Pelodiscus sinensis: one gene and its partners. The protein of the gene in region 3 interacts with the protein of the main gene of each other region in a biochemical or structural test. Links are inferred from orthologs where the notes say so. Each region holds a gene or a part of one and is shown on either strand. Other genes may lie near its edges. The genes, in order: UBE2F, UBE2S and RNF7.

Region 1 (3,745 bases), on a different chromosome or scaffold from region 3:
CCCAGGAAACTACAGACCGGTCAGTTTAACGTCTGTCCCAGGGAAGATAATGGAGCAGGTAATTAAGGAAATCATATGCAAACACTTGGAAGGTAATAAAGTGATAGGGAATAGCCAGCATGGGTTTGTGAAGAATAAGTCATGCCAAACTAATCTGATAGCTTTCTTTGATAGGATAACGAGCCTTTTGGATAAGGGAGAAGCGGTGGATGTCATATACCTAGACTTTAGTAAGGCATTTGATACGATCTTGCATGATATTCTTATTGATAAACTAGGCAAATATAACTTAGATAGGGCCACGATAAGGTGGGTGCATAATTGGCTAGATAACCGTAGTCAGAGAGCTGTTGTTAACGGTGCTAAATCCTGCTGGAAAGGGATAACAAGTGGAGTTCCGCAAGGGTCTGTTTTGGGACCCGTACTGGTCAATATCTTCATCAATGATGTAGATATTGGGATAGAGAGTACTCTTATTAAGTTTGCAGATGATACCAAACTGGGTGGGGTTGCAACTTCTTTGGAGAATAGGGACATAATTCAAAATGACCTTAGCAAGTTAGAGAAATGGTCAGAGGTAAACAGGATGAGGTTTAATAAAGACAAATGCAAAGTGCTCCACTTAGGAAGGAACAATCAGTTCCATACATACAAGATGGGAAGCGACTGTCTCGGAAGGAGGATGGCGGAAAGGGATCTAGGGGTCATAGTGGACCACAAGTAGAATATGAGTCAACAGTGTGATGCTGTTGCAAAAAAAGCAAATATGATTCTAGGTTGTATCAACAGGTGTGTTGTAAGCAAAATTCGTGAAGTCATTCTGCTGCTCTACTCTGCACTAGTTAGGCCTCAGCTGGAGTACTGTGTCCAGTTCTGGGCGCCACATTTCAAGAAAGATGTGGAGAAATTGAAAAGGGTACAGGGAAGAGCAACAAGAATGATTAAAGGTTTAGAGAACATGACCTATGAAGCCAGGCTTCATGAACTGGGCTTGTTTAGTTTGGAAAAAAGAAGATTAAGGAGGGACATGATAGCAATTTTCAAATATCTAACAGAGTGTCACAACGAGGAAGGAGAAAATTTGTTCCTCTTGGTTACAGGACAAGGAGTAATGGGCTTAAAGTGCAGCAGGGGAGGTTTAGATTGGACATTAGGAAAAAATTCCTAACTATCAGCGTGGTCAAATATTGGAATAAATTGCCAAGGGAAGTGGTGGAATCTCCCTCTCTGGAGATATTTAAGAACAGGTTAGATAGACATCTGTCAGGGATGGTGTAGACGGAGCTTGGTCCTGCCTTGAGGGCGGGGGGCTGGACTCGATGACCTCTCGAGGTCCCTTCCAGTCCTATTATTCTATGATTCTATGATCATACCATGCCATCCTTACTGCTGCACCGCTGCTGGTACTGGCTCTGCCTTTAGTGCTTCGTTCCAAGAAAGCAGCCACCGTTCTCCAGCTACCCAGCTCTGAAGACACCACCATCACCAAACAGCAGCACAGAAGAAAGGATAGTATTCCTGCAATCACCCCTATAATAATCTTGCAATCACCCCAAAACTCTTTTTTTGGGGGTCAGGATCTCCCATAGTTACATCACCATGACATTTCAAATTTAAATAATAACGAAATTTACAAATTTTTAAATTCCTATGAACTTGACCAACATGGATCATGAATTTCGTACAGCCCTATTCATAATAGACAGCTAGAGACAAAATTAGGTCCAGATAGTGCATCTATAAAAGCAGATATTAAAAAAATAATCTGGGGAGAAAGGAGGGCGCATCCAGTTTGGCTGTATATAGAAACTTCATAACCTCAAAAATGTCAGCGCACTGACTCAGTAACGAAGACTTTAAACAAGAAAATGGAACTGTTGAAGAAAAAGAGCAAAGACTTCAATTATCAAGTTATAGACCATCACACATCATACTTGTGGCATATTACAGGGACCAGAAATGCAGGGGATAGCAGCCTCTAAGCCGGATCCCACAAGACTCAGTTGCTTAGTACCAGAGGGGTCATGTTAGCCTGGGTCCGCAGAAACAAGGAGGAGCCCCGCGGCCCTTGGAGACGAACAGATTTATTTGGGCACCAGCTTTCGTGGGCGGACCCCACCCGCCAGCTGCAGGTTCAAGCGGGGCCCCGAATCAGTCTCGGGGCTTCCAGCAGCCACAAGACCCCTGGCGGCCAGTCCCCGGGGGGGGGGGGGGGTAACCCTGCCCGGCAGAGCGAGCCGGGGGGGGGGGGGGGGCTCCGTGTTTCTCCGGACGGAGGGGAGGCGGCGCGGGCGCTCGCTGGGGGAGGGGAGCCCGGCTCGCTCCTGAGGTAACTGCCCCCCCCCCCCCGGCAGGCCCGTGCGCGCCCACTCGGGGCCCCGCCAGCCCGGCCCGGGGGGGCAGGGTCCGAGTCCCCCTCGGGGGGGGCCGCACTCACCGGCAGCGGAGGGGGGAAGGCGCAGGCCCAGGCGTCTCCAGCCCGCGCGGCGCCGCTCCGGGGGGAGGGGCGGGACCGCCCCCAGCGCTGCCCGGAAGCACAAACCGGGGCCGTTTCCGCTTCCGGGGCGCGTGGGACCGGCAGCGCCGGTCGGGCCCGCGGAGAGCGGCGGTGGCTCCCGGGAGCTGCCGCGCGGGCCGGAACCGTCCGACCGGCGCCTTCACGGCCGCCGCCTCCGCGCGCAGGGTAGATCCCTCCGCAGGGGCGGGGCCTGAGCCGGAAGCGGCCGGAGGCCCCGCCCCTTGTCTGGTGCCGGCGGCAGAGGCCCCGCCCCCTCCTGCGCGTCTCCCACGCTCGCTCCACCCCAGCGCGGCCAGGCTGGGTCAGAGCAGCGACCCGGCGCGTGACCCCTGCGGGCCCTGTCCCAGGAACGCCTCTGTTCTTTTGTGGAGCCCTAGTAAAGGCTTGACCACGTCCTGCGGCAAGGCGTTCTGCAGGTTAACCAGGCCTTGCGTGAAGAAATGCTTCCTTTTGTTGGCTTAACAACCCAACGTTCCTTGCACTGGGTCAGTGATGACCCATGGGATGGGAAGGAGTAAATCACTTTATTTACTTTCTCCACCCCAATCATGATTTTATCACCTTAGTCTCTCTTTTCTAAGCTTAAAGGACACAGTCTTATTAATCTCTCCTTCTGTGGCAGCTGTTCCATACCCCTCAATGTTTTGTGTGCCCCCATTTCTGAACCTTTTCTGAGATGAGGTGACCACATTTGTACACAGTAGTTGAGATACGGGTGTACCATAGATTTATATAGAGCAGTGCTTCTCAAAGCATGGTCTCGGGATCACTCAGTCTTGCAGGTGTGCTGCAAGTTGCCCCCTTCTGCAGTGGGGAGCTCCTCTACTGCTCCAGCCATGCCCCCATCCCGCACAAGTGCCAGAATCACAGCTAACGCACCCTCAGCCTGCTCATGCACCCTCTACCCCTCCCACTCCACACGCACACACCCTACCTCCCTTCTCTGAAAAAAAGTTAGAATCGAGCACATAGTAATGATTGGCAGACTGCATAATGAGGCTGTAATGAGTTCTCATTAGGGATGAGTGCATCTCAGGCTGTCTAGTGTTTTGACATCTTGAATGATCTAGTTATGTAAATTTACACAAAATGATGGAAAAAAAGCACTTGCAGATTTAGACAAATTTAAACCTCTGGTTTATTTAAAGAGTTTTGATTTTTTTTTTTAAAGGAAAAAAAATTAACTAGAACGTCTCCTATTACTCCCTCCAAATCGAGGCTGACAAA
Region 2 (3,745 bases), on a different chromosome or scaffold from region 3:
GCCCACGAGACACCCTGCTCGCCAGTGCCCACCCACAGGGTGGCCAGATTCCGCTGGCTTCTGGGGATCACTTTCCCAGCACCTGCGACTCCCTCTGGCGAGGGGCAACTGAGGCACGGACCAGCAGCGACTATACCCTGCAGTCCAACCCTGCAGCTGCCAGAAAACACCCCCCCGCTCCCCCGTAGTGAGATGGACAGAAGCCATTCCCCCCACCCAACCCGGCGGGCGACATCACTTGGAAAGGCAGGCCAGGCCTGGGGGGAGCTGCAGAAGGGAATTTGCAGACAGTGCGTCCCCGGCCGGAGGGAAGGAGGGGGCTGCCTGGAGGGATCGGCCGGCAGAGTTCGAAACAGGGGGTCCCTTTCAGGTGTCCAAGCCTGCAGCTGCCCGGTGTGAATGGCGCCAGGAACTCCGCAGGCCGGGCCTCAGGGTGTTCGCCCCTCCTAGGGTGCCGCACTGCTGGAGCTCTGTGCCAGCCTAGCAGGCACAGCCCGGCCTGCCAGGGAGAGAGCCCCCTCCCCCACCGGGGCCCAAGCCAGGGGAGGGCACCGGCGCCGTCGTCCGTCCCCCCCCCCCCCCCCCCCCCCTGCTTACCAGCAGCACGTGCTTAATACCCAGCTCGGCCTTCCAGTCTTTCTTGAGGACGTTGACGCAGATCTCGCCGTTGGCGCCCACATTGGGGTGGAAGATCTTGGTGAGGAAGTAGCCCTTGGGTGGCGCGGCCGGGAAATCCTTGCCCAGGATGAGTTTCATCCGGAAGACGCCTCCGGCGTAGGGTGTCCCCTCTGCCAAGGGAGCCGAGCGGGTGAGATGGGCTCGCCCCCACGTCCCAGGGCACAGCCCCACCCCCAGCTCGCTCCCAGAACAGCCCCCACATCCCAGGGGGCCCTGCTCCGGGCTGGAGGCGCCAGCCCCCTTTGGGGAAGGGCCCTGGGACAGGAAGTAGATACTCCTTGTGACACTGCAGAGTAATTACTTCCAGCTCCTGGGCACCAGTGACTGCCAAGACCAGGAGTCTGAGGGGGGCTGCCTTCCGCACTGCACAGGGCCAGCAGGACTGGGTGGGGATTGCCCCCGGGTCTGAGTGCCCCCCACAAGCACCCAGGGATCACAGCGCCCTCCTCAGGCAGAGATCCACTTCCCTGCCTCAGACAGGAGCAGGCAGGGTGCCTGGGGTAGGGATGCAACAGCATGGTATGCAAAAGCTTGGAGGCTAACGCGATAGGGCCAGTGTTCCTCAACCTTGTTTTTATAAAGTGCCCCTTTAAAAAAAAATTAGAAGTGCCCCCAGTACCTACAGTTTTCAGACAATTTTTTTCCACCATCGCAACACGTGTGTTTAAACGGGCAGGTGATAAACATTGAGTGTAAAAAGTACAAAAAGAATCAAGCGCTGTACAACTGAAAACAAACATTCAGTTTTCTCCAGGTGTCAGTGGTGCTGACGTACCCCCCAGACATCTCTTGAGTACCCCTAAGGGTACCTGTACCCCTGGTTGAGAAACACTGCTGTAGACTACACCCATTCTCTCCTCCCCCCCACTTGCCAGTACATATTTTAGCAGACTGGCCAGCAGCCCGGCTCAGTCCTGACTTTATGACGGGTCCAGGATCTACCCCTGCTGCAGGATCTGTATTTCAAGTGTATTAGGAGCCGGGCAGGCGGGCAGCCCAGCTCAAATCTGGCTTGCGACAGGTCTGGGAACTTAGACCACCCCTCTTCCCCCCTCCAAGACAGGGGCTGCTGCCACCCCATGCTGCTGCCTCTGCATCAGAGGCAGCAGCACGGGGTGACAGGCAACCGGTCCACATGGGGAGCTGGTTTTTAAACTGGCTCCCCTCATGGACCAGCCCCCCCCGCTGCTGCCTCTGATCCAGCAGCAGTGGCAGCGTGGCAGGGGGTTCCTCGGGAGTGGGGCTGGAGCACACTCGCTGCCAGCCCCACCCCAGGGGACTACAAAATAGCTGAGTGACCGAGAAGAATTCTTGAGGTTACTCGACTGTTCAGTGAACTGATATTTAACATCCCTAGACTGGGAGCACTGAGGAAAGCTCCACCCCCTTGTAGCCACTGACCACACCCCCCCACAGCCAGCTCCACCCCCATCTCACCAGGTCCTTCGATGGTGACCTGGACGTCTGTGATGTCCTCCTCGTTGGGGAAGACCTTGATGCCCTCCGGAGGGTCCGACGTCAGGGTGGAGACCTCCTTGTAGACCAGCCGGATGACGTGAGGCGGCAGGTTTTCCACGTTCGAGTTCTGTGGGGGAGACAGACGGGGGCGTGTCACAGGCCGGGGGGGTGAGCTGGCCGGCGCGTGGGCTCTCGGCTAACCGTGGGCCTGCTCGCTCCACCCACCCGCTGCACTCCCCCTCCACCAGAGCTGCTGACCTGGAAAGCGGCCGGGAGCAGGACAAGCACGTGCACTGGGACCCTGGAGCAGCGGAACCGTGCCAGGGACATTGATGTCAGCACTGACAGAGGCGCGCGCCCCATAACGAGCCCCCCAATCCGCCCCATGCAGGTCCCAGGGCCTCCTAGAGTTCCCTGCCCGGTCCAGGTCGATATGGAGACCCAAGAGCTCACTCCCCTAGAAGGGGTGAAGTGCAGCCCCCATGGAGCCTTGGCAATCCCCCCCCCCCCCCATGAGCTGTGGGGCCCTCCCGGGCACCCTTCACTCAGCCCCTGCCCCACTTGGTGCACCAGGGAAGCCCCACTGGCACCAAGACCAGGTCATGGGACCCAGGACAAGTTGCTCTGGCAAAGACGAAGGCCAGAGAAGAAAAGCAGAAAAGCTTCTATCACTCCCCCCCCCCCCCGCCCATCTTGGGATCTCCCCCCAAACCGCTGCCACCTGGGGACCCAGGTTGGCTTTACCAGGCAGATTCCAGGGGCCGGTCCGTGGGGCCAGCTGGAACCTGTGTCCCGTTTTCACCCCCAGAAGCGAGGGAGCAAAATCCCTGCTGCCCCCAGCGAAAACAGGCTCTCATAATGGGGGGGGCCTGCAATTCAGTCCCCCTCCCTCGAACTTTATCAAGCAGCAGCATCCTCCTGAGTCTGCAGGCCCAGTAAGATGTGGCGCACAAGAGCACAGACACCTCTCCTAGCCTGACCCCCTACGGCAGCTCGGGGGGCTTCAAAGAAATTGAACAGCTGGAGACCCATCCAAAGGTCCCCCCCTTCTTTAGTCATTAACAAGGACGAGGCCCCTGTTGTGCTAGGGCCCCGTGTAAGATTTCGGGAGAGGGAGAAGCCCCGTCTACTTGCATCCTCAAGCGAGCCCGTTTGAAGGCCAGGAGCTCTCAGGAGAGGCAGGTTTGGGTCTTAGGCCCTTCAAGGTCTCTGCCGGGGTTAGGGGAAGCCCCCGAGCCAGAGGAAGGGGTGGATTTGGCCCCCCGCACACGGCTATCCAAGATCAGAGGCATCTTTATGAAGAGACAGCAGGGTCAGCTGCCCGCGGGCCTCAGATCCAGCTGCCCTGGGGAAACTTTAGGGTCTGTTCAGCCAGCTGAGGTCCCTTTTTTGGTGCTTTGGAGGTGACAGATTGAGACCCACTAACTCACCACAGCCCTGGACTGGCATACAAGAGCCGGAGACACAAGACAGGCTCAAGGGGGACCCCCAAGTACCTCCCCCGTCCCCAATGTCTAACCAAATCAGTTTTATACCCTCCCTCCCCTTACAGCCAACCAGGGACATTACACTGGCCTCCAATTAAGCCCTCAGCAAGCCAGTGCCAGGA
Region 3 (3,745 bases):
TTACGTGCAAGCCCCCGCTCCAGCCCCAAAAGAACAGCCATACTGGATCAAACTAAAGGTCTACCCCAGTATCCTGTCTGCTGACAGTGGCCAATACCAGATGCCCCAGAAGGATGAACACAACATTCCAGACAACTATAATATTCTATATTAGAGGCAGCAGTGGGTGAGAAGTGGGGGTGGAGGCAGGAGCCAGTACTCATGGAGAGATAACTTTTAGGCAGGCTCCCCAAGAGTACTAGCTCCTGGGGAGCTATCTGCCTCCCTCCTCACTGCTTCTATTGGGGAGCAGGGGAAGAGGGAGGCAGGATCCTATATACACAGGGAGCTGGCATAAAAGCTGGTTCCCCACACGTACCAGCTCCCACAGCACCACATCCCTCCCACCTCGCTGCTTTTATCACAGGCAGAAGCAGGGAGGGGAGTGCAGGCAGGAGCTGGTGCTCACAGGGAGCCAAATTTTAAGCCCATTCCCCACATGCACCAGCTCACACCAGCTCCCTGTATCAGAGGCAGCAATGCAGGGGAGGAGGGGCTACGTGTAACTATGCGCATTAACTGATGAGCTCAGGCTCATCTGTTAACATCCCTACTACTGAGAGGCTGTTTATTCTGTTTCCTCACTATATGATAGATGCTGGGCCATGTCAAGCAACCGCAATTTATTTCAGGAAATAAACAGTATGAATATTACAGGTTAAAACTGATTGCTTAGGTGAGGCATCTAATGATTTATTTCTGGTACAAACACACAGAGATCTACATCAGCCATTGGTACAAGCACAGGATCCTCTATGCAATTTCTACTAGGCATAGGACAAACTCGGAGGTAGGACATTAAGCACTATATAAATGGGAGTCCCTGTAAAAATTAAGGGCAGGTACACAACTGCTCAGTGACCCCATCTGTGGGGTTTGGTATTGTCCCAGCAAACATGTCAGCGCCGGGAAGAAGGAAACCAGTCTATTCAAGCTCTAACAGAAATCCTGGTCTTCCTGGGGAGGAATGCAGTGAGGGCCTCAGCTCTGCAGGGTTCTCCCCAAGGAGTCGATATGTTAAATCCTGGTTAATTAGTTAACCAGTTAAACTTTAGGTTCAACTGGTTAAGCCATTAAGTGGGCTGTCACCCCCTGTGTGTGAGGCTCCTGGCTGAGGGGAATGGGAGCAGAAACAAGTAGCCATATGGGGGGGACGGGCGAGGACTGACCTCAGCTTCTGCGCCCTGCCCCCACCCCACACTGGGTGGCTAGCTTCTACTCCAGGGCCCTGTAGGGCTAGAGCTGCCTTCTACCCAGGATAGGCTACGAATGGGGGGCTGCTCTTGGGTACCAGTGCATCACCCAGTAAAGGGGATGCTTACCAAATAACTGGTTAATTGTTCACATCTGTACCAGGGAGAGACGATCAGTGACATGATACAGCTTCTCTCCCTGCCACGATGTGAGACTCTGCCTGAGGTGGGGGGGAGGAGAGTAGTGAAAAGTGACAGCCCCTCCAGGATATGGAGCTCTGCCCTGGGGGAGGGGGAGAAGATGGGGAATGAGGAGATTCAGATAGCCCCAAGATGTGGGGCTTTCCCCATGTGAGGAAGGATCAGTGAGGCTATACAGGCCCCCACTACCTGGGGCTCTCCCTGTGGTAAGGGGCAGTGAGACTATACAGCCCCTCGCCCCTGGATGTGGGTTTCTTCCTATGGGGGGGGGGAAAGGTACAGCCCCCCTCCTACTCCAGAATATCAAGGGGACATACACGCCCTCCAGAGGGGACAGTGAGGAGATACAAGCCCCCCCCCCCTCCAAGTTGTGGGGCTCTGCTGGTGTGGCGCCAGCCAGTGAGGAAAAACAGGCCTGTCATACGTGAGGCTCTGCCTGCGCGGGGGTGGCAGCGAGGAGATACAGCCCTTCCCCCCAGGATACGGGGGTCTCCTCCCCTTTGGGAAGGGGCAGCGAGCAGGCCGGGCCCGGCCGACGCTTACCCATGACCTGCACCCGGCAGATGGCGCACGTGTCGCACTCCACGTCCCAGCTCCACATGGCCACCGCGTTCCACTTCTTCAGCGAGAACATCTTGTCGGCAGCGCCCGCCTTGGAGCCCGAGGAGCCCGCGTGGGAGTGGGGGGCGACCGGCTCGTCTCCGTCCTCCACGTCGGCCATGGCGGGGGGCGGAGACGCTGCGACGGCGGCGCCGCTCTGGCTTCTCCCAGCCGGCAGAGCGGGGCTGCAGCGCCGCCCAGCGCCCGGAGCGCGGCCAGCTGAGCTGGGGCACACGGGAGGCACGGGGACCTCGACCCCTCAGCCGCGCCGCTCCGGGAGCGGAGGCGGGGACCAGCTGCAGCAAGCCCTTAAATTAGCATCTGTCAACTACGGCCGTCTGCTAAGAACAACCACTAATCACAGTTAAAAAGTTAAAATCCACCCACTTCAGTGTTAGGCCAGGGACCCCACCACACAAGAACAAGGAACAGCTGACCAGTAATCAGGAACTTGGGAACAACAGGTCCGCAACAGAGAGAGCAGGAATAGAAGCTTCAGAAACAGATATCTTCCATCTCCTCTGGTATTATGTGGAACAGACACTCCCATGGGCTGCGTCTAGACTGGCACGTTTTTCTGCAAAAGCAGCTGCTTTTGCGGAAAAACTTGCCAGCTGTCTACACTGGCTGCTTGAATTTCCACAAGAACACTGACTTCCTACTGCCTGAAATCAGTGCTTCTTGCAGAAATATTATGCTGTTTCTGTTCGGGCAAAAGTCCTTTTGCGCAAAAGGGCCAGTGTAGACAGCTCAGATTTGTTTTGCGCAAAAAAGCCCCGATTACAAAAATGGCAATCGGGGCTTTTTTTGCAGAAAAGCACGTCTAGATTGGCATGGACGCTTTTCCACAAAAAGTGCTTTTGTGGAAAAGCGTCCGTGCCAATCTAGACACTCTTTTCCGCAAATGCTTTTAACGGAAAATCATGCCAGTCTAGACATAGCCATGATGATCAGCAACACACAGCACACTATATCAAGTCCTTATTCAATTTGGACAGATGTTGCTGCAAGGGTCAAATGACCCTTTTCTACCTTTTTAGATCATGGGGCAGATTTTAAACCAGGGGTAGGAAATAGTTTGGGTTGTATAGTTTCTTCATCAGAATTTTGCTTTTTCTGAAACAATGCTCCACAACTCCTAACAATTTGGAAGGAGTGTCAAATTCTTAAATATAGGTTCCAGTGCTGCAGCTGTCTTTAGAAATGCCATATTGGTACCTTTTTTGCGTTTTGTGAAATCTGCCAGTGAAAGCAGTCTTAAAATAGACACATGCTGGCTCATCATCTGAAACTGTTACAACATGAGATATATGGCAGAATGCAGGCAAAACAGAGCAGGAGACATATCTCAAGGAATTAAGACAAAAATTAATGCATTTTTCTAATGAGCATTATCAACATTGAATTATGTCCTCTGGGATGGTGGTTAAAGCATAAAGGGGCATACATATATTTAGCATATCTGGTACACATGCCTTTCAATGCCGCTACAAAAGTACCATGGGAACACCTGTTCCCACCTTCAGGTGACACTTCAAATAAGTGGACAGCATTATCTCCTATAAATGTAAACAGGCTTCATTCTCTAAGTGATTTCTTGAACAAGAAGTAGGACTGAGTAGACTAATAGACTCTAAATTTGTAAGTTGTTTTGCTTTTGAGCGCAATTATGCAACAAAACCCCGCTACATTTGTAAGTTGCACTTTCATGG

What was found.
Region 1: the proteins of RNF7 (region 3) and UBE2F form a complex in vitro, tested with the Homo sapiens proteins (10 studies listed by BioGRID, with this or other methods). The link is inferred for Pelodiscus sinensis from reciprocal best matches to the Homo sapiens genes RNF7 and UBE2F.
Region 2: the proteins of RNF7 (region 3) and UBE2S form a complex in vitro, tested with the Homo sapiens proteins (3 studies listed by BioGRID). The link is inferred for Pelodiscus sinensis from reciprocal best matches to the Homo sapiens genes RNF7 and UBE2S.

What each region holds. Positions count from the first base shown.
Region 1 is NC_134717.1:61,530,082-61,533,826, reverse strand, and holds the start of UBE2F (NEDD8-conjugating enzyme UBE2F), read right to left. Parts: upstream 2,595-3,745; 5' UTR 2,438-2,594; intron 1-2,437. UniProt on the Homo sapiens protein: Accepts the ubiquitin-like protein NEDD8 from the UBA3-NAE1 E1 complex and catalyzes its covalent attachment to other proteins. Together with the E3 ubiquitin ligase RNF7/RBX2, specifically neddylates cullin-5 (CUL5).
Region 2 is NW_027465849.1:3,530,429-3,534,173, reverse strand, and holds the start of UBE2S (ubiquitin-conjugating enzyme E2 S), read right to left. Parts: upstream 2,598-3,745; 5' UTR 2,524-2,597; coding exon 2,395-2,523; intron 2,264-2,394; coding exon 2,116-2,263; intron 789-2,115; coding exon 598-788; intron 1-597. UniProt on the Homo sapiens protein: Accepts ubiquitin from the E1 complex and catalyzes its covalent attachment to other proteins. Catalyzes 'Lys-11'-linked polyubiquitination.
Region 3 is NC_134720.1:20,848,633-20,852,377, reverse strand, and holds the start of RNF7 (RING-box protein 2), read right to left. Parts: upstream 2,215-3,745; 5' UTR 2,155-2,214; coding exon 1,977-2,154; intron 1-1,976. UniProt on the Homo sapiens protein: Catalytic component of multiple cullin-5-RING E3 ubiquitin-protein ligase complexes (ECS complexes), which mediate the ubiquitination and subsequent proteasomal degradation of target proteins.